Ovis aries: one gene and its partners. The main gene of each other region encodes a partner of the protein of the gene in region 6 in a complex. Links are inferred from orthologs where the notes say so. Each region holds a gene or a part of one and is shown on either strand. Other genes may lie near its edges. The genes, in order: RBL1, E2F5, LIN52, LIN54, MYBL2 and TFDP1.

What was found.
Region 1: the proteins of TFDP1 (region 6) and RBL1 are in contact, whole or in part, in a crystal structure (PDB 5TUV), measured with the Homo sapiens proteins. The link is inferred for Ovis aries from reciprocal best matches to the Homo sapiens genes TFDP1 and RBL1. Residues at the interface, in NP_009042.1 of Homo sapiens: Pro260, Phe261, Ile262, Thr290, Phe291, Glu292, Ile293, His294, Asp295, Ile297, Glu298; in NP_002886.2 of Homo sapiens: Tyr1004, Phe1006, Asn1007, Ser1011, Leu1014, Ile1017, Asn1018, Ile1021.
Region 2: the proteins of TFDP1 (region 6) and E2F5 are in contact, whole or in part, in a crystal structure (PDB 5TUV), measured with the Homo sapiens proteins. The link is inferred for Ovis aries from reciprocal best matches to the Homo sapiens genes TFDP1 and E2F5. Residues at the interface, in NP_009042.1 of Homo sapiens: Glu201, Cys202, Leu205, Glu208, Arg209, Arg212, Leu213, Arg215, Ile216, Lys219, Gln220, Leu223, Leu226, Ile227, Gln230, Phe233, Leu236, Val237, Arg239, Asn240, Arg241, Arg249, Pro253, Ser255, Val256, Ile257, His258, Leu259, Pro260, Phe261; in NP_001942.2 of Homo sapiens: Val126, Arg129, Leu130, Lys134, Glu136, Ile137, Leu140, Glu141, Glu144, Leu147, Asp148, Gln150, Lys151, Leu154, Gln155, Ser157, Ile158, Val161, Met162, Ile166, Asn167, Asn168, Arg169, Phe170, Ser171, Tyr172, Val173, Thr174, His175, Asp177.
Region 3: TFDP1 (region 6) and LIN52 share a complex: the UniProt entries of both Homo sapiens proteins name them as parts of the DREAM complex. The link is inferred for Ovis aries from reciprocal best matches to the Homo sapiens genes TFDP1 and LIN52.
Region 4: TFDP1 (region 6) and LIN54 share a complex: the UniProt entries of both Homo sapiens proteins name them as parts of the DREAM complex. The link is inferred for Ovis aries from reciprocal best matches to the Homo sapiens genes TFDP1 and LIN54.
Region 5: TFDP1 (region 6) and MYBL2 share a complex: the UniProt entries of both Homo sapiens proteins name them as parts of the DREAM complex. The link is inferred for Ovis aries from reciprocal best matches to the Homo sapiens genes TFDP1 and MYBL2.

What each region holds. Positions count from the first base shown.
Region 1 is NC_056066.1:66,052,480-66,057,346, forward strand, and holds part of RBL1 (retinoblastoma-like protein 1), read right to left. Parts: intron 4,040-4,867; coding exon 3,906-4,039; intron 1-3,905. UniProt on the Homo sapiens protein: Key regulator of entry into cell division. Directly involved in heterochromatin formation by maintaining overall chromatin structure and, in particular, that of constitutive heterochromatin by stabilizing histone methylation.
Region 2 is NC_056062.1:90,368,305-90,373,171, forward strand, and holds part of E2F5 (transcription factor E2F5), read right to left. Parts: intron 2,494-4,867; coding exon 2,384-2,493; intron 1,555-2,383; coding exon 1,391-1,554; intron 114-1,390; coding exon 72-113; intron 1-71.
Region 3 is NC_056060.1:83,523,070-83,528,638, forward strand, and holds the start of LIN52 (protein lin-52 homolog), read left to right. Parts: upstream 1-1,806; 5' UTR 1,807-1,813; coding exon 1,814-1,844; intron 1,845-5,569. Other genes in the region: ALDH6A1 (methylmalonate-semialdehyde dehydrogenase [acylating], mitochondrial), read right to left, coding at 1,172-1,225.
Region 4 is NC_056059.1:98,538,008-98,543,506, reverse strand, and holds the start of LIN54 (protein lin-54 homolog), read left to right. Parts: upstream 1-1,747; 5' UTR 1,748-1,757; coding exon 1,758-1,794; intron 1,795-5,499. Other genes in the region: COPS4 (COP9 signalosome complex subunit 4), read right to left, coding at 1,437-1,510. UniProt on the Homo sapiens protein: Component of the DREAM complex, a multiprotein complex that can both act as a transcription activator or repressor depending on the context. In G0 phase, the complex binds to more than 800 promoters and is required for repression of E2F target genes.
Region 5 is NC_056066.1:72,218,100-72,222,966, forward strand, and holds part of MYBL2 (myb-related protein B), read left to right. Parts: intron 1-1,047; coding exon 1,048-1,147; intron 1,148-2,513; coding exon 2,514-2,627; intron 2,628-3,889; coding exon 3,890-3,982; intron 3,983-4,867. UniProt on the Homo sapiens protein: Transcription factor involved in the regulation of cell survival, proliferation, and differentiation. Transactivates the expression of the CLU gene.
Region 6 is NC_056063.1:86,069,414-86,073,677, forward strand, and holds the end of TFDP1 (transcription factor Dp-1), read left to right. Parts: intron 1-79; coding exon 80-158; intron 159-1,716; coding exon 1,717-1,864; 3' UTR 1,865-2,815; downstream 2,816-4,264. UniProt on the Homo sapiens protein: Can stimulate E2F-dependent transcription.

The DNA of each region.
Region 1 (4,867 bases), on a different chromosome or scaffold from region 6:
CTCATGCCAACTAGAGAAAGCTTGTGCAGCAATGAAGACCCAGCAGAACCATAAATAAATAAACAAGTAAGTAAAATCTTAAAAAAAATAGATAATAAGTTTTGACAAGATGTGGATAAATTGGAATCTTCATAGAATGACTAGTATAGTCATTTTGAAAAACAGCTTGATAGCTCCTCAAAAGGTTAACCAGAGTTACCACATGACACAACAATTCTTATATATACATCTAAGAGAAATGAGAAATACGTCCACATAAAAAGCTGTACACATTCATAGCAACATTATTCATAAGAGCCCAAAGTAGAAACAACTCAAATGTCCATCAACCAAAAAAGTAATAAAATGTTTATATCCATGCAATGGAAAATTATTCAGTCATAGAAAGGAATAAAATGCTGATATATGCTACAACATGGATGAACCTTAAAAACATTATGCTAAGTTAAAGAAGCCAATCACAAAGAAATATCATATATTGTATGATTCTGTTTATAGGAAATGTCCAGGAAAGGCAAAAAGACAGAAAGTGAATTAGTGGTTGCCAGAGGAAGGGGATTTAGTGGAGGTATAACATGTGAATGCTAATGAGTATGAGGTTTCTTTTTTGGGGTGATGAAAATGTTCTAAAATTGTAGTCAGTATGTGACTATATTAAAAACTGTTGAGCTATATACTTTAACTAGATATGTGGATTATATCTCAATAGGGCTGTTTAAAAAAAAATGCTACTCCAAAAAGGATACAGTGAAATGTGCTAGAAGTATTACTAATTACCTTTCTAAAGGTAACTTGGCAACATGAATATAAAGTCTTAAAAACACTCAATTTTTTCATCCAAAAATTGATTTTTATGAGAATCTAAGGAGAGAGTCAAAGATATAGGCAAAAATATTTATACAAAGATAGATATCATGCTATCCTATGACAGTTTTCTTTTTCTTTTAATAAGTAATGTACATATTTACAAAATTTCAAAGGTACTGAAGGATACATGATGGAAAGTATCTCTCCTTGTCCATCACCTCCCTCCCAGTTTTCTTCCACTAAAGCAACCAACTTTGCCTTAGTGACTAATTATACCTTCCCCATCCAGGGAGTGAACCTGGATCTCCTACACTGCAAGTAGATTCTTTACTGCTGAGGCAGAGAAAGTCACAATTATATTGTTACTAGTTTCTTATTTATCCTTGCAGAACTTTTTAGGGTATTTATGAATACATACCTACTTAAATACTTTTTCCGCACTCAAATGAAATCATACTACCTACAAGAGATATTCTATACTTCTCTTTTTCCCTGTCATTTTGGAGATCATTTCCTCTCAGCTCACATGAACGTCCTTCCATAATGTTAAGAGCTGGATTTTATTCCACTATATGGATGTGCCATAAATGCATCTGAACATTCCCTTTTATCCTTTAAACTTTTTACTTTGAAATAGCATCAAACTTACAGAAAAGTTGCAAGAATTGTATGTAAGAACTTCTTTATTCACCAATATTCACCAATTTTGCATTTTGCATATTTGCTTTGTCATCCACCTCTCTCTATGTTATTTATGTGTGTACAGAGCTTCCTCAATTTACAAATGGGGTTACAGGATATAACCTGTAACCCTACTGTAAGTTGAAAATATAAGCTGAAAATGCATTTAATATACCTAAACCTACTGAACATCACAACTTAGCCTAGCCTACCTTAAACATGCTCAGGTGCTTACATTAGCCTACAGTTGGGTAAAATTATCTAACACAAAGCCTATTTTATTAAAAAAAAAAAAAAAGTGTTGACTGTCTCACATAATTTAACAAATACTCTACTGAAAGTGAAAAACAGAATGGCTGTGAGACAGAATAGTTGTAAATCTATTGGCTGTTTACCCTCCTGACTGCATGGCTTACTGGGAGCTGTGACTCACCCTGCCAGCAAAAACCAAGTACAGAGAAAAGATGATAATATGGAACATATGTCCAAATAGTGGCACACTATCTAATTTTAAGGGTACTCAAAAGGCAAAAAGGAAAACTGCTTTGTAAAAAATGAATATCAATGTTTCTATTAAAATTATGGAAAGTAATTTTTCATTCAGGTTCTAATAAATATGAAAATAATAAGTGAATGAAAATAATCTTGATTTAAATCACAAGTTATTAAAAAACTTGTAAAAAAATAAGGAAAAATTACTTCTCACTACTTAATGAGACTCAGACAACTGCTTTATTAAGAATTTAAAATTCAAATTATAAAATAGATACTAATTTTTAACACTATTAAGAGCAGAACAAATATTTACACAAAACTTGTGGGTTTTTTTTGGCAGCACCTCATGCCTTACAGGATCTTAGTTCCCTGACCAGGGATTAAACCCAGGTCTTTTGTAGTGAGTGTATAGCCCTAACCACTGGACAGACAGGGAATTCCCACATGAAACTTTCTTTTTAAGTTGGAAATTGCTTAGGCTAATTTTTTTTGTAAACTGAAGCTGAATTAAAGATACAATTCAAAAGAAGACACACTAATGTATATTTGTTTACTGATAACATAAGTAACACAGCATGGACTTCAGAGGCTCTGCCACTTAGGTATATAACCACTAGATATAATTTAACCTCGTGGTGACTTGGCTTCCTCATCTTTAAAATGAGATTTATTTGATAGGATTACTGTGAGGATTAAATGAATAAAGATATGTAAACTATTAGCACATAATATCTGGCACACAGGTAAATATTCAATAAAAATCTTCTAGTTTTACAGGTATATGTATGAATCTATACTTCTTCAGCATTTTGCAGTATGATTTAGCAATATTTGCTGCATATTTTCCCAAATCTATAAAGATCTACATAGTCACTTAAAATTAGTGACTTCCCTGGTGGTCCAGTGGTGAAGAATCCACCTTCCAAATGCAGGGGACGGGTTTGATCCCTGGTTGGGGAACTAAGATCCCACATGCCATAAGGCAACTAAGCCCGCACACTGCAACTACTGAGGCCACATGCACTGGCCCCTGTGCTGCAACTAGAGAAGCCGATGAGCGGCAATAAGGACCCAGAATAGACGAAAAAAAGAAAAAAATTTTACTGCATCAAGTAATAACACTAGAATAGAGATGTTATAGAAAATTATTGTATCAAGATTTAATTTTGTTGACATGGATAACTGTACTATAGTTATTTAAGGAAACACACACTGAAATATTTAGGGGTATAGGGCTATAATGGATGCTACTTAAATTGAAGTAGTTGAGGAAAATACATTATTTAAGGGAAAAAGATTAAATGATAAAACAAATGGAGTAAAATGTCACTAAAAGGTGAGTCTAGGTCAAGGGTGTATGGATGATCTTTGTAATTTTCTTATTTTTGCAACTTTTCTGAAAGCTTCAAATTATTCTCAAAGTTAAAATATTAATGAAAAAAATCATAGATAAAGAGATTTAGTAACATTCTTGGCAGTCCAGAAGTTAAGACTCCATGCTTCCAATGCAGGGGGCACAAGTTCAATCCCTGATTGGGGAACAAAGATCCCACCTGCTGCATGGTGCAGCCAAAAAAAAAAAAAAAACCAAAAACAAAATCTCTGTGCCCGTAATGCCTGTGGTGATAGTTACTTAACTCTGTAAAAAATACCCCAAATCACTGAATTGTGCAAGTAAGTAAATTATATGACTTATAAATTGTAACTCAATTAAAAGAAAAGATTTAGAACAGGGGCCTTTGGTTGAAGTTAGAATTTGAGGAAGAAAGTCAGAGAAAGAATGTGAGAACTGGGGAAAAAATGTGAGAACTGTAAAAAAAAAACTTAGAATGGGATGAAGCTAAATGATTTAAAATGAAGAGAAATTAAATTCTAAAGTTAAATTCAGGATTTATAAAGTAATGTTTGAAAAAGTGCTTTACCTTAGTTTAGCTGAACGTAGTATTCTGGTAAGTGAAACGCAATTTCCTTCCATGATACCCTTGCCAACTGTGGGAATGATGCTTTTGCGGCAAGCAACATACAACGAACACGCCAACCAGTGTATAACTTCTCCCTGGCAGGCAAAAGATAAAACAGCAAAATGGATATATTTCGTTAGAACACTTGAATTCTAGACTCAAAAGAGACCTTAGGATTATCTGGTCTAATTTTCATACTGTATTAACAGGCGAGAGAGAAGTGAGGATATTTGCCCAAGGTCAGAAAGCTTAGTTGGTTGCAAAAATGGGTATAAAATTCCTTACTCTCAGTCCTGTGTAACATGGTGAATTGATATTACTCTAAATATAGATCTCTCATCTACACCCCAAATCTAATATTACTGAAAACGTTCTCAATTTCTCAGCATTAGCTTTTTCAATATTATAACACCAGTCATGGCCTTGATGATGTGGAAGTTCCTATCATTTTGTTTCTTTTTTAATCACTTTGGCAGAGAAAAGGAAAGAACAAAGTAGAACGATGGCAAAAGAATCACGCATATAAAAACTAATACCTATCGTGTTCAACATAAAGGAGATTGTCAGTTTTGTGAGGTAGAAATTGGGGGAATTATTTACCCTAATCTTTAACACAGTCTAAGTATGGCTCTCTATCTTAGCAGATATTTCAATTTACAATGCTACAAAAAAGGTGACATTTGAGAATTCAACACTAGACTTGAGCTACTGAAGCTAGATTCACTTTATGACTTCATTGCTGAGCTTTACATGAAATTAAGAACTAGCCACAAATCTCATAGCATAACACAATACTGTAGTGCAGATCCTCTTTAAGACCAGACTCTAGCAGAATAAAAATGACTAATAAAGATTTCCTGCAATAATCCAAAAGGGGTGAGCAGAAATGGGTAGCTACTAATAAATCTAAGACCTAGTGTTCC
Region 2 (4,867 bases), on a different chromosome or scaffold from region 6:
CATTTTAAATCACATTACACTAAATACGTTGATCAAAGGAAGAACATAAAAAATTTACTAACAGTACTTACCATTAAAACAATTACAGATGTCTTCATGAGTTACATAGGAAAATGTACTGTCAGAGAGTTAAGGAACAACATTTATATCAAGGCCTGGATATATAAATTAAGATAATAAATCTGAAGGCCAAAGTGACCAAATGCATGAAGGGACTGTCACACATGGTCAGATCAAAAAGAACACAAGTCTTTTGTCTGAAAAGGCAAAGATCCGTAAGAGAAGTATTCATCCTTTGCTCTAAGAAGAAGCCACTTTGGATTTCTGTGTCATCTGAGGACTCTTGGGAGAGGAAAGGAAACACATTCCATGGAGACAGGAGCTTCTGGGGGAAGTACACTGATGGGGGGAAAGATGCTGTCGGTGGGAGTGAAGAGTCAACTACAGAAGTCGCTGCATCGAGACTCTCCTTGGGTCATGGTCTGGGGAACTGGGAGCGCCCACGATCTTGGCAAGCAGTGCAGCAAAGTGCGTGATCAACTAGTTCAGTGCTTTTTGGAATCTCGGGGCTCCACAAGGCACAGCTGAAAACCCCCATTATTATCAAACTGTTAAGGAGTTCTGATTCTAGAAAGGAAATAACAAATGACATCATGGACTTTTTCACCAAAGACAAGACAACGTGAAAAATAAATTATATACACAGTCAAAAGTTCATGAGAGGTGGTACAAGATAAATGTAGTTAAAATGTTCCATATGAGTACGGGTAAGTCACAAATCAACAGTCACATATCTGAAAGAACTCAGTGGTCATAAGGGACACATGGAGTACATCACTAATGTTTTTCCCCAAATATGGTAGATATACCAGCTTTGGGACCCTACGCTCTACTAAAGTACTATCTTTGGGTTAATATGAGGCAGAATGTATCCTGGACTGATTGCAGGCCTGTGTGATATTTCATTTTCAAACCAAAATTAATTTTTTAAAAAACTTTGAAGAGTTGCTGAACTTTTAACCACTTTGAAACACTGAATGATTTAGCTTCAGAACAATGATTTAACAACGCCCTCCAAATTCGCAGACTCCCTGTAAGCACACACTAGCTAGCGTACTGTATCCTGCCAATGGGTAGACCAAAGATAGGGGAACTTGCAACAGACACATCAGCTTGCTAAGAGATGTACTATATGACTTACAAAAGTAAAAATTTAAAAATATTCATATAAATTATTAGAAGAATGTTACAAAATTAAAATGTTATTATCCCTTGCAGAACTGAAGTCTCTGAAAACACTAGAATAAAGTAACTGATGTTCAGACTGAAAGAATATATAAATATATATCTATGTATTTAAAGATGTAAAAGGACTTCTATTTAAAAGGATATCTATTATTAATGGAGTCGTCCATCACATTTTTGATGCTTTGCTGCAGCCACAACTTCTGCTGATCAAGTTCTCTCTCCTTCAGTTCTAGATCTTCAATTTCGGCTTTGAGATATCTTAATCTATCTATGACTTCTTTAGTGTTACAGCCAGCACCTACACCTCTTAAAAACACATGAAAATTAATATCCCCAGTATTAGACCCAGGTTAACATCACTTAATTTTTATAGTAAAAATTGTAAAACTCACTGCATATATTTAAAACAAAAATCTTTACACTCTTCTAAAACCATTAACCATTAAAATCTTTAGAAAACTTAAACACCCAAATTACAAAATTCTCAATCTGTCCTAGTGTGCTCTTTGTCATCTAGAAGGGTGACTGGTGACTGAGGCACCACAGGATGCTGGAGTCGAGTGGTCGCACTGGTAGTCTCATTACATGGACTGAGATGCGGGTGAAACAGATTATCATCTTTTAGTATTTTGTTGGGATTTTTGGCTAAAATAAACTGAAACGTGAAGGATAAGGGGGGCAAATTTGTGGAAAAGAACATGTTTGTTACAGTCAAACATACAACAGTTAACAAATGACAACATGCATTTCAACTAATCATTATTTACAAAGTACATATTCTTGTATGTATGAGACTTAGTTCCTGTTTTCAAGGAGTTTATATTAGGTGAGTACATAGAACAACCAGGTAAAGAAGGATCAATGATACAGAGCAGGATGCAGTGTGTACCAAGTGAGCAGCTGGAGGAAGACTTGAACTTTGAGAGTGCGAATTAAACAGCGGAGTGAGCCACGGGCCATCCCATGTCACACAGGAGGACGACAGAAGCCCAGAGGCGTGCCAGGGACACGCGAGGGGCCGTGTGACCGGTGTAGACGGCTGGGACAGAGGACTCAGGAGACATACACAGCAGAAAGGTCAGCGTTCACAGAGCACTGAGAAGAAAAAGGTAGACTAGAGCAGTCTGTAACTTACTTCCATTGTATACTGTTTTTTGACTTTTTTTCAATTAAGTCAATTCCTTCCAAGACATTGGTGATATCATAAATTCTTCTTTTTTGCCTCACAGCCAAAGTATCTGCAGCCTGTTTAAAAAAAGGGGGTGGGGAGGTGAACAAAGAAATAAATTACCATTCATATTTTCAGGCCCAAAAGGCTTTAGTTATTAAGGTCACAGCATGAGAGCCCAGTCTTAAATTTGACCCGGTCAGTGGCTTGGGAACAATAGCAGGGTATGTGCAAAGCAACCCTCAAACACTGAAAATACCAAAGAAATGATTCAATTTAAAAGCCAGCAGATGTTGGAACGGAGGAAAAAAATGAAAAGGTCATGCCACAAAGCCCACAAAAATAAAAGAACACAATGAGAATACTTCATATCACCTTATGGGCTAATCCTTAAGAGGCGCTGCTAATTGTCTGCCCCTGTCACTTCCTATCTTATTTCTCTGTTCATAAACACAGTCTTGTTTAAAGACAGCTAAGTTACCTTTTTTTTTTTTTGAAACTGAAAAATTATATCTCAGCGATTTTTAAATAATGAAGTCAAGATACTTGGGAGAAAATTCTAAATTATACACACATTGTATAATACCTTGAAATACACAATCTGCATTTTCTAAATTCAATAAAAATAGAGGAATGAATCATGCCATCCCAAAACAAAGCATAAAATTGACAAGAAATAAAAACCTATTGCATAAGGTTGTGGTACTAGCAAATACAAAAGCTTTGTAGTGTCACTTACATTAGGTAAGACCAACAAAAATATTTCATGCTACCATGTCACGAATGAATTGAGGAATGCTGTTATAGTGCCTCTAATTAGTTCTCACTCACATTTCTGACATTTGTTCCCCAGCAGTATAAACAGAACCTCAGAGAAGAGGTTACCTGAAGGCTCTTTTTTCAGAGTAGATTCAGTAGACTATTTTGAATGCGGAGTCACATTTAAGATTCACGGTAGTAACAAAAAAATACATGTATATCCTTACTGACAATATTCAGTACATTATCTACAGAATTTAGTCTCAGATGATTAGTTACTGGCTACCCCAGGGCGTCACTAACTGCTTCATTCTATAAAGTTCCTCCTACAAAAACCAGGGCAGCATTTTGTTTCCTTCCACAGGGAGCAAGTGTGACCAACAACGGCTCACTCTGCAGGCATCTGGAACCTCTAAGTGAGATCTGGTGGTTGTATCACCAGAAACACCAAGTGCCTGCTGCCAACCTCTGAGGTCTTCAGCAGGGGATTCGTGCCTCAGAGAGCAGACCAGAAGGGTGACTGGATGTGGCAGAGGGAAAGAAGGAAGAAGCAGAGCATGAGGCTGTTTGAATCCCCAGCTCTGACTAAGTGGCTCATCTCTTCTAGAAGACGAGAAAACGAAGAGGGCTCGCCCCAGTTTCACCTATACCCTCTTCACTGTACTCGGCGGTTCCCTCCCTGTCTCATCTACCAGCAGAGTTTCTGTTCTGAGTGCGAGGCTGTCTTTCTCAAGAGTAATCGTCTGCCGCAAAGCTAACTATAAGAATCTTAAGTTGTGAATTCATGTCTCATTTCCCTCTTGAGAAGTAGCCAGAGCACTCCCAGTTCTGCGTCATCCGTAGCTATGGACTCACACACCAAAGCCATTACAACCTTAGCAACAGCTCACCAGGCATGAACCAGGTCACAGAGCTATTCTAGGTCACTAGGCAAAGAGCCATGAGATCTCAAGTTTAGTTCAAAATTTGTAAAAAGTTATCTCATTTACAGTTTATTTGTTGTTGTTCAGGCACTAAGTCATGTCCAACTCTTTGTGACCCCATGGACTATACCCTGCAAGGCTCCTCTGTCCATGGGATTTCCTAGGCAAGAAGACTGGAGTGGGTTGCCATTTCCTTCTCCATTATTATTTATCACTGCTTAACAATTAACAACTCTGGGAGTTGGTAATGGACAAGGAAGCCTGGCGTGCTGCAGTCCATGGGGTCACAAGGAGTCAGACACGACTGAGTGACTGAACAATTACAAAATCAAATCCCTGATTCCCAAAACGAAGTATCATTTCTTAAAAAGCTATTAAAGCATATAAACATACAAATGACCAAACTTAAAGAGGATCTCCAGGAGGCTTTTATTTTAGCAGCTGCATCACCTGAAGTCTGGTTCTGGAGCTGGGCACACCAGCTCCAGATGCAGCCCAGCCCTGCCACTTCCTGTCTTCAACTGGCTTCAGGCTCTTTAAACCTCATTTCCTTTTCATAAAATGGGATAATAACATGCTGAATTGTGGGGGCTATGCAGGATAATCTTAGCATACTGTCCTCTAGGTAATTTATACTTAAATGTTGCTAACAGCCTCATCATCAAATACAGGTTGAAACAAGGGATCAAGGGTTAGAGTTGGCATGGATATGGACCTATCATATTTTTCACATAGGGTTTTAAAAAGTTGCATTAAATTCTTGATTTTA
Region 3 (5,569 bases), on a different chromosome or scaffold from region 6:
TAATATTATAAGTCCTTGCTAGGCTTGAACAACGGGGAAAGGCTATGAACAGCTGGAAACAGCTACAGGCCTCAGGCATGTAGCTCCTGTAGCTCAACCACTTGTCCTTAGGCTAACTTCAGAGAAGACCTGAACACCCCCACCCCACTCCAACCCCAGGGGCAGAGCTGAGTTGGGGCTTCGCTGCTAGCTCAGACGGTAAAGAATCCACCTGCAATGCGGCAGACCTGGGTTCGATCTCTGCATTGGGAAGATCCCCTGGAAGAGGGCATGGCAACCCACTCCAGTATTCTTGCCTGGAAAATCCCCATGGACAAAGGGGCCTGGCAGGCTACAGTCCATGGGATAGGACAGTGGAACACTGCTGAGCGACTAAGCACAGCACAGCACAAGCTGACTCTGGGGTGGGAACTTGGAACTTACACTTCTTGTCTTCCTTGGTTCCCATTTTCTATCACCTATTTTAGAGATGTTTAATTCTTTGCACGTGCCTGGAACAAACTGGGATCATTAACTATGTGTCCTTATTCAACGCCAACAAAACACTGTAACTCTGCCAGAAAGTTAAACAAAGTCTTGGCAAGCAAAGGCACAACAGTCCACAGCCTGTGGAACATGCAAAGAGCCGTAGCTGGGGAAAACAGCTCAGCAAATGACTGCTTTTGGGAAAACGGAGTGAACATTCCGAGAAGGGGATTCAAAGTTCATTCACTGACCCTCGCCCCTCGTGTGCTTCCTGCCCCTCGCCCCCCGGCCTTTACCTCGGATTGCAAACCGTGAAGAAGGGTGGGGGAGGGGGACAATTTGGAGGTTCTCGGCCCAATGCTAAGAGAGGTGACCAGAAGGGGAGTTTCTAGGGCAGAGAGGTGGCTGGTGCAGAGGTGAAAGGGAAGACGTTGGGCAGACCGACAGAGGTGGGGCAAGAGAGTGTCGGCAGGGATCGGGCAAGCCTCGAAGAGGAGAGTGGGCCAGAGCCATAAAAGGGGGGAGGCTCAAGAATAAAAGGGCTAGGGCTGAATCCAACGAAGGCGGGTACTGAGTGAGGTGTGGGACAGGGCCGCACAGGTCCGATGGGCACAGAGAAGGGTCAGCCATGAAGGGGATGGCTCAGAGAGCGGATGGAAAGGACGAATTTCGAGCTTCGCAACCCCTTGGCGCTACCCTCACTCGCCTGGAGGATTCGGGCCCGCAATGCCGCCGCCGCCGCCGCCGCCACCACCGCCATGGCTCTGGGTTGCCTCTTCTCAGCCCCCGCACCTCTACGGTCTGAGACTGTCCAGAAGCTCTACTGCGGCCAGGCCTCGCCCCTCCATCCTGCCGCACCTCCTCACTGGCGGAAAGGACAATCTCCCCTAGCCAATTACTCGCCCTAACGCCTGACTCCGCCCCTCAGTCCCAGCCCTGGGGGAATATGATTGGTCAGAAGTGATAGCGTTCTCGCCCTGCGCTACCTCAACAAATTCTGTTGGCGGAGGGGTAGGGAAGGCACGGAGCGACTCGCGATGTTCTATATCGAGCACAGGAGGAAGACGCCCCCGAACCCGGAACTGCGATTGGCCAAAGGCACAACCGCGGCCCCGCCCACTCACTGAGGGAAGTAAATAAGTTCATGCAAGAATTTTTGCAGTAGCTCCGCCTCATCCACTGCGCGAGGGGAGATGTGGCTAGCACCGGGGGGCGGGCCTATGTAAAGATTGTCCCTATAGGGGCGGGGAGACGAACCCGGCTCCCGGGTTTGAGGGCAGGGTTTCTCTTTGGGGGCGTGGCTTACGGATCCAAGCTTTCCCGCCGACAGTTGGCCACGTCACGTGACATGGGTTGGAAGATGGCGTCTCCCACGGACGGTAAGAACCGGCTTAGAGACCTTTCGCCTGCTACATCCTTCTGCGCTCTCCTGGGAACTTCCGTTTCCATCTACCACTCGAATTTACATTTCTTTCATGGGCTCCTATCCTTTCCCTTCCACTTCTTTTCTAAGCGATGTGGCTGCTTCTTAAGCTCGCCGGTTCTTCACAGCGGCTCCAGAGGTGCCTGGTTTCTTCTCAGTGTACCAGGCAGATGGAGGAGGGCGCCCGCTAGGGACCTTTTCTGGGCAAAAGGACGAGGGTCGCCCTTGTCCTCCTTTAGCCTCATTTGGGTGAGACTGATGGCCGAGGAAGAGATACTGATGAGGAAAGGAGGCGCCTTAGTGTAGCTTTCTCCTCCGGGCGCCTCACTGAAAAAGGTCAGTTCTTTTCTCTTTGAGCATCTGGAACGATTTTTTGATTCTCTTAAGCGCTAGCTAGGGTTAGTGGCTGACCTCATCCTGGGATTGAACCACAAGAGAAAAGTAATTCTCTCCCGTCTCCTTAGATTGGGACCGTTGCCCTGGCAGCTACAGAAGCAGGAGACCCTCTCGGGTCCCTAACTGTGAGAGTCCCGAGGAAAATAGAACTGAGCTTTTTAGCGTAGTCATGTACACGTCTCTACCTCTCTTGTTTCTGCTTTATGAATTGTTTCTTAAGGCTGAGTGATTGAACGATTTCTGCTTATATGTTGTCGAAGATGCAACTCATCTCAGATAGCAATTGAGTGGTTTTGGTATACTCCCAGGCTTTTGCTCTCCGTTCTGTTTTAGGATTAAAGTTTTGCAGTCATTTCTGAACTGTTTTTGCTTCGACTATTCCATCTCCACGTCCATTTCACTGATATGTAGTTTTCTCTCCTTTTGTGTTTGGAAGGAATCTTGAAAGTTCATTTCAGGAATGAGGAACTTGTGGCCAGAAAAGCTATATTGAGATCCTGCTTTATGAAAGGCGTTTTACTAGGTGCATTGGGAGAGAAGAAGATTAATCAAACATGTAAACACTTTGGCAGTTTCAGGTCTCATTTAAATGTCACCTCCCAGAGAGGCTTTCACAGAGCACAGGAGCTGAGCTTGCCCCTCTTCACCACTCACTTTCTCAGTACCTTCATAGACAGAACAGTTTATTATGTCAAGTTTGCCCCTTTCAGTCCAGATTGAAAATTCCAAGTCTGTTTCATTGGTAGTTGGGTCTCAGGGCTTAACACAGTGCCTCGCCTACTGGCAAGCAGTAGGTCTTCAATTCATGTTTATTGAAAGAATGATTAGATATATGCTTAAATAATATTTTAAGGTTTTTGAGCATGGGTACATACTGTATGGGGCTCCCCTGGTGGCTCAGCAGTAAAGAATCTGCCTGCCAACGCAGGAGACATGGGTCCCTGAGTCAGGAAGATCCCCTGGAGAAGGAGATGGCAACACGCTCCAGTATTCTTGCCTGGGAGATCCCATGGACAGAGGAGCCTGGCAGGCTACCATCCATGGGGTCGCAAAGAGTTGGACATGATTTAGCTACTAAACAACGACAAGCAACCATATACTGTATAAGAAATTATGGGTATTGAAAGTCAAAAGAGATTCTTGATCCTGCCTGAGTGCTCTCTTGTTAAAAATGAAATGTCTTTTTCTTTTTTTTGGCCAGGAAAAAAATAAAGAGCATTTAAAAAGTTAGCCAAGGGAATGTGGAGTTGTTATTTATTTAATGGGTATAGACTTTCAGATAGGGAACATGAAAAAGTTGTAGCAATGGATGGTGATGATGGTTGCAAAGCGGTGTAAATGTACTTAATGCCCCTGAACTGTACACTTAATACTGGCTAAGATGGTATGTTTTATGTATATTTTACCACAGTTGGAAAAAAATCAACCAAGTGATAGAAGTAATGGCTATGAAAATTTTTAGTTTATAACTAAGTTGTCTTTATATTTTTGTTCCTTATATTTGATTTTCCCTGTCTTCTCTCAATTTCTTTTCCTTCCTTTGGCCAGGAAGAATATTGGAAATTTTTTTTTTTTCCTTTTGCCTTTTAACCATGTCCACTCTCACTCTATTTGCACACTTGACTTTAAAAGTTTTCATGCTCATCTTTTGCATAGCTTTATCCTTTTCCCTCTAATCTTTTTAATCTGACAAAAACAGGTTGAGCACTGTGAACTTAAATTTTGCATCTAAATAAATGTCTTATCCTAAAATATACTACTGCCTAGCTCTCTCACTTCTATTTTTAGAGTTCCACCTGTTTCTGTCTATAAGATTTAATTAAAATTATCTTGCTATGAAAAAAAGTTTAGATCTTTCCACTCTTTCTCTTTTCAATGCTTAATTTGCTGGGACCTCCTTGAAAAGAAGAAAATTGAAATCTAAAGTCATTTGTTACTTAATGTATGAGAATAACACAGTAGAGTCAAATTATACCCTAGACTGTGGTATCATAAGGTCATGCTTGTTGGTTATTGAATCGTACCCTCAATAAGTTTATTTTTGTTATGCTTGAACTTTCCATAAGTAGCATTCCTTGGAAGTTTGAAAATTGGGATTTTGTGTTTCACATATCTAGTTAAGGCAGTTTTTTAGAGTTTAGTTCTTTACCAATTAGAATGCCAATGGAAATTTCCTTAGAGTAAATAGATTGGTTCAGCTAACGTCCCTCTTCTCACAGCAGTACAGTAAAAAGGAAAGAAGAATAAAGGCAAAAATTTTTCTCCTTTTGATGAACACACTTAGGATTTACTCTTAACTTTCCTGTCTGTCATATAGCAGTGTTAGCTATAGTCATCATTACACCCCTAATACTTACTTACCTTGTAACCTAAAGTTTGTACCTTTTGACCACTTTCCTCTAATTACCCCCCTCGTTACCCCCACTTCTCATAACCATGAGTATGATCTCTTTTTCTGTGAGTTTGCCTGTTTGCTTATTTTAGATTGCACTCATAAGTGAGGTTGTATTTTATTTGTTTTATTTCATTTATCATAATGCCTTCAGCGTCCATATAGGTTGTCACAAATGACAGGATTTCCTCATTTATATATGGCTGAATAATATTCCATTTGTGTGTGTGTGTGTGTGTGTGTGTGTGTGTGTATTTTCAAACTTTATCCATCAGTGAACAGTTAGGTTGTTCCCATGTCTTGGCTATTGTAGATAATCCTGATGTGAACTTGGGAGTTCCTTAGACTATTGGGAGGAAATTTTGGTTAGAAAAAAGGACATGTTGAAAGATTTTATAAATATGTACATTTTCTGGGTTCATAGCTTTTTTTTTCAGATTTTCAAAAATTTGGCTTACCCAGAACATGTTAGGAACCACTGTTTATATCATTAAATTAGCTAATTTATGCAGCTAATTTGTATACTGAGCACAAAGTAATGTACTTAACAAATGTTAACTGTTGTTGTTAATATTAAACACCTTCTGTGTTCCAGGGCAAGAGTGGAAAAGAAATGGTGTCAAAAAATTAGGCAGGGGCTGGGTCATATAGAATTTTATAGGTCACAATAGATATGCATTCATGAATTTAGCTGGGAAGAAGTCTTTTAAGCTGGAGAGTGGCTTGAACTGATTGACATTTAACTTTTTTGGAAAGTAGGTTTGAGAGTAGGGATGGGGAGGGGTAAGAATGGGAGCAGGGAGATGGTAAGAGCCTATTGAAGTGGTACAGGAGAGAAACGATAGTTTCTTGCTTAATTAATGAAATTTCAGAGTGTGGTTTAGATAGAAACT
Region 4 (5,499 bases), on a different chromosome or scaffold from region 6:
GAGCTGAGGAAGTAAATGCTTAGCTTAAGTTTCAGAATTCTGCAAATACGTGAAAACTATATCTCTTCTGATAACTAACACACTTATCTTTTTTTTAACAAAACAAAAAGGAAAGCAAACATGGAAAAAAAAATGTGAGTTTTACTTTCATCCAAATCTATCAAAATTACATGCAAAAAGAATTGAGCAGTGAGACATATTCAATTTATTTCCAACCCAGGGATTAAGTCAATACGTACTTACCAGCTTCTTAATAATAATAAGGAGGACAATCCTGTGGCTCTAAGTGTCAGGTACTGTTCTAGGTGCATATACACACTCTATTTTGTCCTCAGACAGAATAATTATCTTATAATTATCCCATCTTCCTGAGAGGGAAATTGCCCCACAAAGTAGTTAAGCCCAATAGCACTGCTAAATTTCCCAATGATATACTGGATTACATTTACTAGCAGACAAAATACATTACAGCCTACATAAAACAAAGTCAATGTTTCAATGGCCAGGTTAAAACAGGTGTAGCCAGTTAAAATGGATCAACCTGATCTTAGCTGTCAAATGTAAATAGGATCAATTTGAGAAGCACACTTGAAACAGAATGCATGTTAATTACCAAAAAAAAATTTAGTGCTGTGAAATCTACAAAGAGGAAACAGACATCTATCTATCTCCCTGTCTATCTAGATGTAATTAACACTGTTGAATAACTGTCTGCAGGGCAGGCACAAATCACAAATTTAAGTTGGCGTGGACTTAACCCTTCTACATAAATTCCGACAAAATTTCTAATCATGTTTAAAATTCTGCAAACATCACTACTCTAGACATCCTGACCCACGTTGTGGTGACATTCCTCCATGCCCTCCTTCAGAGTTGGTGGCAGGGAGAGAGAGTACCCAAAACACAACCCACAGAAGATGGTTCAAGTAGTTCTGGACGTCATGATAGCGGCCATACCTGAGCAGCCCCCGTCAGCCTCAAGAAGCCATCTCCGCGGAAAACTCTAAACCAAGGTTCCAGAATACAAATGGCCCTCAGTCAAAGAGAAAAAACGGGCGCAGCAAAGGCAAACAGAGGCCAGAATTCGGTGTGAGAGGCCGGCCAGCGAAGGGAAGGGGCGCCAGGGTAGGTTTAGAAGGCCATGGGCGCAGTCGTCCCACAGACCGCGCTTCCAGAATCTTTAGAGAACGGAAAGGATGCCATCAAGGGCTGAAAAAGTTGACAGCCACTCCAGATCTATGGTCCTGAGCGCTCCCTGCACAAGGTCCCCTCCAGTTTTCTGCTGCTCCCAACATCTGCCTCCACGACCGACCTCAGGCCCGCCCCCTTCATCTTCAGGCCCGCTCCTAGCTTCACATCCGAAAGCCGCCGTCAATCCAAGGAGAACAAGTCTCTGGCTTGCCTCTCCACCTCCCAGGCTCCCGGGAAATACTCACTTGCCCGCCAGATCTTTATGAGAGCCGCTCGAATTCATGAGCTGGGCCAAATCCTGTCGCACGGCTGCCGCCATCTTTCTCCCAGCTCGGCGGAGGCTGCGGGGCCTCTCGCGGCCGAAAGAAACCGAGTGTAGTCCTCCAGAGTGCGGCTAGAGGGAACCCGAGATGCCACAGAGTAGCGCCTGTGTAGGCCAGACCGCCGAGCCTGCGTTAGGTCCGCCCCCAAGGTTGATTGACGCGAAGCTCCACTCCTCAAATCCTAGGCCCGCCCGGGCTTCTCTTACAGGCTCGGGCTCACGCGCTCCCACTTCGGATTGGCGGATGAACTCCAAGGGACTGTGTCGCTTGTGCAACCCCAGTAAGTGCCCGATTCGCAAAACTTCGGGGTTTTCGTCAAGTTCCGTATCTCATATATGTAGTTTACCATCCCTTGTTCTTTAAGGCTGCACTTAAACTACCCGTGGTAAAGAACGAGGTTTTTTGTTTGTTTGTTTACAATTCACTACAGACCGGTACTTTTGTAAAGTACAATAAAAAATGTCCCCATTCCGTTCCTACTCTGCGTCTGTATATAGATTGATCATACATCTCAGTTTATCCAGGACAGTGCCATTTTCCATCTGTCGTCCTGGAGTAATTGTTAATAACATGCCCTTTCACTCTGGAAACTGTTCCATTTAGATGACAAATTATATTATAGCCTTACTTTGATACGTAATTGTATTTATGTATTTATATAGGAGTGCAAATTTCTGCAGCCTTGCCTACAAAGGATGTTAAACTTGAATTTCTGCCATTTTATATGTGAAAAAGAACATGTTCCTTATTTGGGGAAGGGGAAAGAAAAGTCCAGAACAAAGAAATCCTTTGAGAAAGTACTGTGGCAATTTGTTGTCGTTGTTCCGTCTCTCAGTCGTGTCCAAAACTTTGTGACCCCATGGACTGCAGCAAGCCAGGCTTTCCTGTCCTTCACTATCAGTTCAGATGTCCCTCCATAGTTAAAAACTTAGTGAGATCTCCATGCCTGGTAACTCTGAGTCTGGATATTTAGTTTCCTTTTGCCTAGGACAAAGGAAAGGATGGTTTTGGAGCGTCAACCAGCAGTCTCCACTACCGTTTGTCCCTCTGATCATAATACAGTATCTGTGTGTATCCTTCCTACAGTAGGATACTCAACCCTAAAGAAGAGAGTTCAAGTTCCCACTCAGTTTCTGTATCAGCTTAAAATCCAGGATGTCTGATAATGTACAACCCTCTCCAAAAGTTTGGATGTAATTGTTCATGGTCCAGACACATATACACTATAGAAGAAATTATCAGCCTCAGGCCCAAACATGTAATACAAAACAATAGAGGAGCAAGGACAGAAGCAATAGGATAACTACAGTTCCAGAAAAGTAAGAGTGTGAAACACAGTAGTTACTTGTCCACAGCAATGGTAGAATCCTGCCCAGGAATTATGAACACCCACTACCGTTGTTATATCTGCATGGTGGTGAGACACCATGGTTAGTACTGCATTTTGAGAGGATAATTGCATTGTTCATTGTATTTGGTGGATCCCAGCTTTGCCTTCTCGGAGAAGGCAATGGCACCCCACTCCAGTACTCTTGCCTGGCAAATCCACTGGACGGAGGAGCCTGGTAGGCAACAGTCCACGAGCAGTCTCTAAGAGTCGGACACGACTGAGCAACTTCACTTTCACTTTTCACTTTCATGCATTGGAGAAGGAAATGGCAACCCACTCCGGTGTTCTTGCCTGGAGAATCCCAGGGACGGGGGAGCCTGGTGGGCTGCCGTCTATGGGGTCGCACAGAGTTGGACACGACTGAAGCAACTTAGCAGCAGCAGCAGCTTTGCCTTCTAAATACAAGTTAACTGGATGTTGGAGGGTATTCCCTCTCTGCTGCTGCTGCTGCTAAATTACTTCAGTCGTGTCCTACTCTGTGTGACCCCAGAGATGGCAGCCCACCAGGCTCCCCCATCCCTGGGATTCTCCAGGCAAGAACACTGGAGTGGGTTGCCATTTCCTTCTCCAATGCATGAAAGTGAAAAGTGAAAGTGAAGTCGCTCAGTCGTGTCCGACTCCCAGTGACCCCATGGACTGCAGCCCACCAGGCTCCTCCGTCCAAGGGATTTGCCAGGCAAGAGTACTGAAGTGGGTTGCCATTGCCTTCTCCATTCCCTCTCTAGAGGAACGCTTTAGGACTTGAACAGTTGAGGGCATTTGTAGTCCCGGTTTTTCAGTGGGATTTTTTTTAACATAACTTTATTGAATATTCAGTAAACTCTGCTTCCTTTACAGACAGTTTCAGGTGCCAATAAACATACTCAAAGTCGTTTTTGAAGTGAGGTGTTAATTGCTCAGTCATGTCCAGCTCTTTGCGATCCCATGGACTGTAGCCCACGGGGCTCCTCTGTCCATGGTATTCTCTAGGCAAGAATACTAGAGTGGGTTGCCATTTCCTCCTCCACGGGATCTTCCCGACTCAGGGACTGAACCCAGGTCTCTTGCATGGTAGGCAAATTCTTTAATGTCTGAGCCACCAAGGGAGCTCCTAAAGGTTTTTTTTAGAAGTAGTCATTAAATCTGCCCTATATCCTGACTTCCATATGCAACCCATTCTTAACATCTTAATGATGATATCCTTGAAATCATCTGAAAGAATAAGCTTAAGTGAGAAGAGAACTCTGTTAATAGTTTGATTTTTGCTTCAGTGTATCTTTCCTTTCTGTTGTTTTTTGTTTATGTGTGTTTGCCAAAAAAAAAATCACATTGGGCTCTGAGAAATCTCTAAGCCAAGTTTTCTCTCCTGTAATTTAGGGTTACACAAGTCGTCAACTTTTTCAACTTAGTGAAGCTCCAGAATTTCCAGACATTCTGTTCTCTATCTACCCTGACTTCAAACTTTACATGTAGTACCTTATGCCTGCTTGCTCAGTTACCCCTGACTCTTTGCGGCCCCATGGGCTGTAGCTCTCCAGGCTCCTCCTTGCCCTGGAATTTTCCAGGCAAGAAATACTGGAGTGGGGTTTCATTTACTACTCTAGGGGATCTTTCTAACCCAGTGATTGAACTTGAATCTCTTGTGTCTCTGGAACTGGCAGGCAGATTCTTTCCCACTAGCGCCACCTGGGAAACTCTTGTAATACCTTGCTGAAAAATAAAAGCAGCAGCCACATACATAAAGTAGCTCTTTTCAAAATATCTCCACTAGACCTACAAGCTAGTGAGGGAGGTTCTCTGCCTTTCTAGTTATTGTAGGCAACAGTTTTACTAAAACTTTTTGATGTGACAAAGCCTCCCTTTCCAGACTATTACGCATGCTCAACTATTACGCTCAACTATTACGCATGTAGTATTCTAAGAGAATACGACATAGTTTTAGGTTTGGTTATAGCAGTGAGAAAAACAATTGGGTGGCAATGAGAATTTTTCCCTCCCTTATTTCAGTTGCTTAACAAGAAACTAGCTGGGCATCTCTGAGTTATGGGAAGTGCACAAATCTTAGTTCTTTTAATTAGGTCAAACCTTGGGTCCCAGTCCCAACTTAACTGAGTCAAAACTGTCATGTTGACAAAATTCCTCTAGTAATCGTTGCACATTAAATTTGAGTAGCACTGCTTTAGCAGATGTCACTACTAGTAGAGCTCTTCTCACTAAACCCTTATTTAATAAGGCCATTTCCTTGGTCAGACATCTCCTGTTTTCACATAATCAGCTCTTAGTAGATGGTCTCTTCCTCCTTACAGTTTCCCTACAGATATGCAAAGAAGGCTATCCTAGGGTCCTTTTCCTGGCACATCTTCCACTCTGCGTCTTGTGTGCCCAGCTCAAATATGCCTTGCTGTAGAAGTAATAATAATAATTTTAAAAAAAGAATAGGTGAGTGCATATGTTCTGCTGTTTTCTGAGCACTAGTTCCTACTCTGAATCTGTTCCATATGTTCTTGATGCTATTATCAATATTGTTCTAGAGTTATCTTGTGTTTCCCAGACTACTCCCTGAATCAGCCATTTCTCCAAGAAGGCCTTGTTCCTTTAAAAAAAAAAAAATCTTTA
Region 5 (4,867 bases), on a different chromosome or scaffold from region 6:
TGAACCTGTGCCCTCCGCAAAGTGCAGAGTCCTAACCACTGGACCACCAGGGAATTCCTCTTTTTTCTTTTTTTAATTTGATGGTTTTCTAAATTCAGAGATTAGAAATGTGGAGAGTCCACCTTGCCACGAAAAATGTAATGTTTGCGTCATTTCTGTAAGTTCCGAGTGCAGATCCACTGTGCTTGAGCATCTCTACGGGAAGGACACAAGGCCCCCCAGTTCTCTCCATTTTCTGGTGCTCAGGAGGGACGGCTGTGTTCCACCTTCAGGCCTGTACAGGTGGCTTACCTGCTTCTGTGGAGGTGCTTTCACAATAAGTTTTCTTCCTTGTATCATCATGACCCTTGAATTCCAGGTAGAGTTGCTTAACTGCTCTTCGGCTCGTTACATTTGCTGGGTGGGGGAGAAGCATTGCTATTTATATTTCAGGAGTCAAGCTGTAGATCAGGGATCCACTCAGGAATTTTAGTTCTCATAATGATAGGTGATTTCAGATAAGCTGTATGGATCCCTTGGTCAGAAATCTGTCTTTCAACAAGTGATCTAAAATTTAACATAGACGGGTTTCTTGAGAAACGATTCTCCTGTCAAGTCACTAAGCTCTTAAACAGACAGCTGGCACCACAAAAGGAGTAGCTGCTGCTTCTCCGGAGAGACGGGGAGGGGTGTGGTCTTTCTTGGTCCTCCTCGCCTGCCTCTCCTGCTGGGGTTGCAGTCTGGCCACAGGCCACCTTGTTTTATGGAAAATCCTAGTGACGGCAACATCTTAGCCATTCTTCCATCCATTCGGGTCTCCTGGACTCCCTCAGGCTCTTCCTATTCTTTGCTGTTTTTGAGGACGGCCCTTCCTCTCTGTCCCCGGAACTCCCCTTGCAGATGGGGAGGTGGGTGGGTGGGCGGGCAGATGGGATGGGAAGAGACCACGTCTGGGGGCTGCCTTTCTGCCGCTGAGGCCAAAGGTCAGTTGGGGGTGTGGGAGTCAGGAGCAGCCCACAGCCGAGCCCCCCAGTGCCATCGCCCAGCCTCCTTCTCCGTGCCTGGCAGGTTTGTAACCCCAGATCAGAAGTACTCCATGGACAACACTCCCCACACGCCGACCCCGTTCAAGAACGCCCTTGAGAAGTACGGACCACTAAAGCCCCTGGTAGGTGGTTCGGCCAGTCCTCCAGCCGTTTATGATCACTCGCCCTGTCCTGAGATCCCATTAGCATCTCCCGACTGCCTTGAGAAGTTGCGATTCCTTAGTTTGATAAACAGGGCCCCGTGTTAAAATGAGTTACCAGCTCTCCAGATGTCTCCAGAGCAACCACCATGCAGGCGGTCCTGGCTGGTGCTGGAGCTACAGCGGCATCCCAGTGGACCTGGGGGTGGTGGAGGCCGACGTCCGAAGTGACCGAATACTCAGCTCGTGGCTGTGCCGGGCAGAACGTGGGCAGGCTTTGGGATGGAGAAGGACGTACGTGGGTGCTGCGAGCTGGCTGAGGAAAGCGGTGAATTGCTTGTCAAACCCAAGGCTGTTGACCAGCTGCCTGTCAGTGGGCTGGAAGCAGCTGGGCAGTGTGCAGACATCTCCTGGGTTGCTTTCCCCGCAGTGTGAGGACGGCCCTTCTCCCCCAGCTCCTAGTTCATGAGATGGTCCTGCTTTACCCCAGGGCAAAAGAGAGGGCTGGCGCCCCGGGTTTTCTGAAGCAGGTCGTTTCTGAGAACCCAGCCGCAGGTGGGAGAAAGGCGGGTCACGGAGAAGAATCCCTGCAGTGACCTCCCCTCCCAGCTCACCACGTGGGGCGCAGGTGGGGCTGTGGTCTCCCCGTCCTGGCTTGGAGCTGGCGGAGTTGCCCTGGGCCAGCCACAGTCAGTCCGGCCCTTTCCTGACTTGGACTCAGCTGCCAGATACTGAAATGTCTGTGTGCTCTCGGGACACATCCAAGAGGGCAAGTCCGACCTTGGCAGCGATAATTCAAGTACACGGGGGCTTTTAGAGTGACTTCTCCGGTTTCACTGTGCCCTACATCCCCTGGCCTCTGCCACCTGAGCGCCCAGGCCCAAGAAAGGGATGTGGAACCAACACCTCTGTTAGCATGGGGCCAAGGCAGGGAAGAGTTGGACTCTGAGTGCGTCCGGGTCCTCTGTTGGTGTGGGGCCGAGGCGGGGAGGAGCTGGGCTCTGAGTGTGTCCAGGCTCTGAGCTCACAGCTGTGTGGCCCTGGGCTGTGCTCTCAGCCTCTGTCTACCCAGCGGAGGATGCCAGCTGGTTCCTTGGCCTGGATGAGGGTGGCTGTGATGAACTGGAGTGCTCCCAGCCCTCAGGGAGCTGAGGCCAGTGTCCCAGGCAGGACGGTTAATGGCCATGGACACTGTGTGTGAGGCCAGCATCCCGGCTCCAGGCTGCCTCCGGCATCACCCAGGGCAGCGGAGGTGCGGCCGGGTCTGCCCTGCCGCCCCCATGAGCAGGCTCAGCGCGAGTCCTCTGGCCTGGGGGCAGAGCCTCACCCTGGTCATCCCCGCCCACAGCCCCAGACGCCCCACCTGGAGGAGGACTTGAAGGAGGTGCTACGCTCTGAGGCCGGCATCGAGCTCATCATCGAGGATGAAGTGAGGCCCGAGAAGCAGAAGAGGAAGGCCGGGGTAAGTGGCTGGCCGGGCAGGGGGCAGCTGGGGAATGCACCGGGGGTGGCGGGGCAGGGGGACAGGGGGGCGGCCGGGGAACAGGCAGCAGAGCAGGGGGCGGCTGGGGAACAGGCACGGGGGCGGGGGGCGGCCGTCCATTCCTACAGCCTGGGGGTCCATGAAACTGGCCGGCGCAGCTGCCTGCCATCCTTCCTTCTCCCCTTGAACTGGTGCCTCAGTTATTCCGCGTTGTTTGGACCCTCCTGAAGTGGGCTCTGGGCCAGGCGGGGTGGGTAGAGCAGTGATTAAGACCCAGAGGGGGTCGCTTCTGGAGTTCAGTGGGCAGAAATGGCAAACACCCCCAGTGACTCAGCAGCATTCGGGGACAGAAAAGGCCCAAAGAGGATTTCAGGGGGCATCCTTCAGACGAGCCGCCAGCCGGCTGTCGGCGCAGAGTGAGGAGGTGGGGCCAGCCAGTTCAGGTGAGGTGGGAGCGGGTGGGGACACTGCTCCGGATGGCGGGGTGCAGAGGCCGGGCCACGCTGGACAGACCTGTCCCGCCCCCGGCCCACGTGGTTTCCTGACCGCAGGCGGCTCTGTGTCTCCTGTTTTGAAGCCCCTTTGTTCCCAGGGCTCTCCTCTAGGGAGAAGGGAAGGCGGGAGTGGGCCAGAGTGGTGGGTGGCCAGGCGGGGAGGGGACCCTCCAGCTGGGCCCCCTGGTGTGTGGGCAGCTGTGTCTGCAGGTGGTTCCCAGCAGGGGTAGCAGCTGTTGGGGGCACAGGGCTGAGTTCGGGGACAGTTGTCAGTCTCAGAGGCCCTCCCTGGGGTCAGAGCTGCCCCTGATCTGCTTATAGGAGGCGCGGGGCTTGGGGGCTGGGCATTCCCATAACAGCCTGTGTCCCACGGGGTTATGTGTCTCTGTGTAGCACCCCGGCTGGTGGGTGTTCTAGTGGTAACTTGGCTGTGTGGGTGTTTAGTGTGGTAGAGACTTGGGCTGCGCTTGGTCCCCTTGGGGATGAGGTTGGGTGGAGGTGGCCTTGGTGTCCTCCATACCTGGTGAGCATCTGGCAGGACAGGCTGCCCTGTGGACAGAGTCTACGATGGGGCCAGTGTCCTGGGCCCCCACGGCTCCCCCAGAAGACCCTCTCCAGCCGGGCCTGCTGCAGGGCTCTCCCTGCACCAGGGCCTGGTTTCTGGACCAGGGCAGCCGGGACCAGTGTCATCAGGCACTGAGGGTGATGGGAATTCAGGCGTGTGCCCTAACCACCACCTCTCCCCAGATGCGGCGAAGCCCCATTAAGAAAGTCCGCAAGTCCCTGGCTCTCGACATCGTGGATGAGGACGTGAAGCTGATGATGTCCACGCTGCCCAAGGTTGGTCAGGGGTCTGGGAGAGAAGCCGTCCTGTGAGGCCACTCCCTACTCCCCACCCAGCTGCAGGAGGCTGAGAGTATGGAGTCCCCTTGGGGGGCCTGGGCCTCTGGAGCCCTTCAGCCTGGAGAGCCCTGGGGGTGGAGTCGGTGGGGCTTCCCTGTGCCGGGCTCAGCGGGGAGGAAGGGGGCAGGTGGCACTGGGCATTCCCCACTGGTCGACCCAGGCGGCCTTGCTCTGGTCCTTACAGAAGGCTCGGTCGGCAAGCACTGATGGCGAGCACTTGTTGGGCGTGTGTGTTTTCTGAGTCCCCAGCGCCTTCCCTTCTATTGCACTGCTAGGGAGGACCCGGAGATGATCAGTGAGGTGCCTTGGGGCCCTGCCAGGTGATCGAGGCACCTCTCCCCTGGCATGGATGCCGCCCTATTCCCAGGCCAACCTCCAGAGGGGGCTACTGCTTCCACAGAGCCTGGGCCCCAGAAACCATGCCGGGCAGTCGATCCCTTGCAGCAGGCAGTGAGGTGAGCTTGTATCTCACTGGTGGCCGGTGAGGGCTGTGGAAAGGCCACGAGACAGATGACTGCCTGGCAGCTCCTACAGGTCCGCCTGCCACTCAAACTCCTGGCAGAGAAAGCTCCATCTAATGAGGCATCCACGCCAGGCGGGAACTTTGTGCACTCCAGACAGACCCTTGGGGAGTGAAATAACTAGTGGAAAGAAAAAAAGTCAGGTCAGGTGGTTAAATGCAGAGGAGGTGGAGTGGAGGGCCTGGTCTCTGGCGTCTCTTGAGCTGCCTGTGCCTCAGGTTCTTGCCTGTAACAAGGATGCTGAGCCCAGCAGGCTGCTTCAAGGGTAAAGGCCTGTCTGGGAGGCTGCCCAGGCCTGTGG
Region 6 (4,264 bases):
GCCCGGAGCCATCGGCCCTGTCTCAGCGCCCTGTGGGCTCTGCTTCGTGACGTTTGCCTCGTTTTCTTCCTCTTTGCAGAAATGGCTCAGGGGTCGCTCGGCGGTGTGTTTGTCGCGTCGGCAGTGTCGACGTCTAACGGCACGCGGCTGTCTGCCAGGTAACTGCGCCCCCAGAGCCGCGCGGCCACCCTCCCCGGCGGGAAGCCGGGGTCTCATGTGAGCGGCCTCCGTCCTGCTTGGAGCCGGGCTCCCTGCGCAGCGGACACCAGGGCCCCAGGGTCGTCCGGAGCTCGTGCTCTGGGCAGAGAAGCTGTTTGTTCTGATGAGAGTTTCCCTGTAAAGACCAGGAGGGGTACATGGATTTTATTTTCTTTTGAAGTAATTCAGTGCCGCGGCGGCAAAACCGCCTGAACTGCGTGGCCGGCAGCCTCAGTCAGGCTGTTTCTCCCTCTGTTTTTTCCCTTTTCTTTCAACGCTTGAAGTCGCAGTGCACACGTGGTGGTGCCCGTTGCCCCTTCTTATTTTTCCGTGTACTGCGTGCATTGCTCTACGTGTTGAAGGAACTTTCATCATTTCAGTCAAAGTGTGTTTGAGCCGTGACCTCACAGGCCCCCGGAGCAGGGCTGGGTCAGGCCTCGGAGTTCCTCCTGGTTTTTAAGATAAGCATAAGGTGATTTCCGTGTGAGTATGGACAGAACAGTGGTCTTGGGTGTCTCCTGTTGGGCCTCATACGTGTCTATATCAACTCTGAACAGTAAAGGATGTCTTGTTTCTCAAACACATGAAATCAGCAGCATGCAGGTCCAACAAAACCGGGTTGGCTAGTAAACCCTGTGTGCACCTGCCTCGAAGGCTCGGCAGCCCCCGTGCTGTGTGGCCTCCACGTGACCCCAGCTCGGCCTCGGTGCGCCCGAGGGAGGGGCAGGCTCCCTGTGAGGGTCCCAGCGCCCAGCCCCTCGCGGGGTGCCTGCACCTGGTTGCGTTTTGACAGAGGTTGGTTTGGTTTTAAATTCTGAATCTGCCACTGTGCGTGGCCCAGTCTGTAAAATCTGAACACTGGTTATTCCGGGAGGTGGAATTTGGGTATTTTCTAAAGTTTCATCTTTAAGAAATTCTATTAATGAACTTTCGGGCTCTTGTCAGTGTTTTTAACAAGATGAAAGCCGGTACCATTTCGGAAGGAAAGCTGACACTGGGGCCCCGGTTCTGAGCCGCCCTCTCTGGTCGTGCACTCGGGGGGTTCCTGGCTGCAGGCAGCCGCAGCTTCAGCCTGTTTTCCGCTCTTTCAGATGTGGTCGCTAGATGGGGGTTTCCCAGATACGGGGTTACTTTGTCATAGAGCGTGATACCTCCTAGGTTTTGTTGGGCAGTGTCGGTAAACACCAGTAAAAGGTATTAAGACACCTGCGTGCGGTTTTCTCCTAAAAGGGAAATAGGCAGAGTGTCGGAAAACCGTGTGCACGTGTGTGAATGCACACACGTGCCTCACACGGCCCACTCCTTTCCTCCCTGGAGGGCGTGGCGGGCAGAGTTTGGAGGAGGGTCTCGGGGTCTCGGTTGGTGTGCCGGGGCTTCTGTTCCTGGCGCGCTGAGAAACAGGAGCCCGCTCAAGCCGCTCGCTCTGTCGTCCTGGGCCAGGGTGACGGTGAGCTCAGCCTGGGAGAGGCGGGTTCCGTGCTGCCCGCTGTGTGGCCCCTGACGTCCCTGTCCTTGCAGCGACCTGGCCAACGGCGCGGACGGGGCGCTGGCCACGAGCTCCAGTGGGTCGCAGTACAGCGGGTCCCGGGTGGAGACGCCGGTGTCATGCGTCGGCGAGGACGACGAGGATGACGAGGACTTCAACGAGAACGAGGAGGAAGACTGAGCCGCCGCCCGCGGCCAGGAGCGCGCGGGGGGAGACCTGCGTTCCGCGCCCTCCTCCCAGAAGAGCTTGCCGACCCCCGGGCTCAGGGCGCTTCTGACGAGCCGCTCACCGTGCTCCGGGGGTCCCGACGAGCCGCCTGAGTTTGACACCGACGCACGACCTCTACTCTTGCGGATTTTGTGTTTTCGTTTGCTGTCTTTAAGTTCAGAGTCCATCTCGCCCCCTCAGAGTTTGCCGAGTTTGCCGGAGAAGCTGTGCTGCCTTCCCGCCGCCCGGCAGGCCCAGCGCAGCGCCGGGCCCAGCGCAGCGCCCGGGGGCACCGTGGGCCCGGCGGCGCCCGGCTCTGCGTCTCGCCGTGTGACTATGGCTTCGTCCCCTTAAATTATATTGACTGCGCGGCCCCATCGGGCTCACACTGTGGGTTTGCCCTGGGTTGCAGCAGATGGATTGCAAGGCCCCTGTTTGTTTTCTGTTTGTTTTGTTTACTGCCACGCTGGCGCAGCTGTGGGAACTGAGGCTTGGAGGGTTTATTGCTTATGGTAAGATTCGCCTGATTTCTTACAGGCAGCGTTTGGAGACTTTTTATTATATAGTTGTTTACATACTTATAAGTCTATCACTTAAGACATGTACTGAAACAAATGTTGTATTTGTTTCGTAAGCATCTTCCTGTAATCTATTATAAAGTTGAAATTAAATATAGAGAATGTTTTAACAGTTTTTTAACTCAAAATTTGTCAATCATTTTTAATAGTTCTTTTTTTATAAAAAGAAAAAAGAAATTTCAGGACAGGCAGTAGTCTCTTTTAAAATGTATTCACCAAGAACCATTAACGGCACAGTTGCTGTTAGCTGCCTGTTCTAAAATAATAGTCTTTTTATTGGAACACAAATAAACTTTTCTGTAATATTTTGTGGAATAAAGAGACTTTAATTGTTTGACTTGTTTAACTTGGCACTGTTAGTTTTTATTAATAAAGTGCGCATGGGCATTTTAAACAAGCTGCGTGTCCCTGTGATTCGCGATGCTCTCTGGAGCTCGTTTGCCCCCACCAGGCCCTTCTCTGCAGGGAAGGGGTGCGGGCCCTGCGGTGGATGCAGGACCCGCCACGGCCCCAGCCTCTCCTGCACTGCCCCGGGGGCGGGTGAGGAACGTGGTCCCTAGGACATGGCCGAAGTGGTGCCTCCTCTCTGTGGCTGGTGGTGGGGAGAGCGTCTGTTCCTTGTCTTATTTTTGGAAGAACTGTACTCATCACCTTGGGGCCTCCCAGGTGGCCCAGTGGTAAAGAATCCGCCTTCAATGCAGGAGACATGGGTTCTGTCTATGGGTCAGGAAGATCCCCTGGAGGATAAAATGGCAACCCACTCCAGTGTTTTTGCCTAGAGAATTCCATGGACAGAGGAGCCTGGTGGGCTGCAGTCCATGTGGTCGTAAAAAAGATGTGACCTAAATGTAATCAGTCCTGAACATTGACTGGAAGGACTGATGCTGAAGCTGAAGCTCCAATACTCTGGCCGCCTGATGTGAAGAACGGACTCATTTGAAAAGACCCCGATGCTGGGAGGGATTGGGGGCAGGAAGAGAAGGGGACGACAGAGGATGAGATGGCTGGATGGCATCACCGACTCAATGGACATGGGTTTGAGTAAGCTCTATGAGTTGGTGATGGAAAGAGGCCTGGTGTGCTGCAGTCCATGGGGTCGCAGAGAGTAGGACACGACTGAGCGTCTGGACTGAACTGAGCTGAGACACAACCTAGGATAGATGAATATTACCACTACCTTTAACATTTGAATCCTCGTGAAACATGACCTTTGCAGGCACATCCCCAAAAGGTCAGAAGCATGGGGAAGCTGGGGCGGAGGGACGGGGCTGATGCCCTCGCAGGTGATGGGCCTGCAGTAAGGTGGCCCGCCCAGCCGTCCTCAACTTCCTCCTTGATCACAGGAGCTGAGACAGAGCTTAAGGCTTTGACTTTCAGAAAGAGAGTGAGATGGTAAGATGGGCAAGGCCAGTGCTCTGTTCAGGCTGCCTGAAGTCACGAGCGAAGGTTCAGTACAAGGTGTGGACTCAAGCGGTCCTGTCCCCCAGACACGAGCGGGCGAGGGCGGGCACGAGCGGTCCTGTCTGCCGGACACAAGCGGGCGAGGGCGGGCACGGGCGGGCGAGGGCGCTTATCCCATTATCCCGACTGTGATGGACGTGTGTGCTGAGGGATGCGGCAGAGGGAGAGACAGCATCAGGACCATGAGCGGGCGAGGCCGGGTCACGAGCGGGTGAGGACGGGTCACAAGTGGGTGATGACGGGTCACGAGTGGGTCACGAGTGGGTGAAGACGGGCCACGTGTGGGTGAGGACAGGTCACATGGGTGAGGGACAGTCACGTGTGGGTGAAGCAG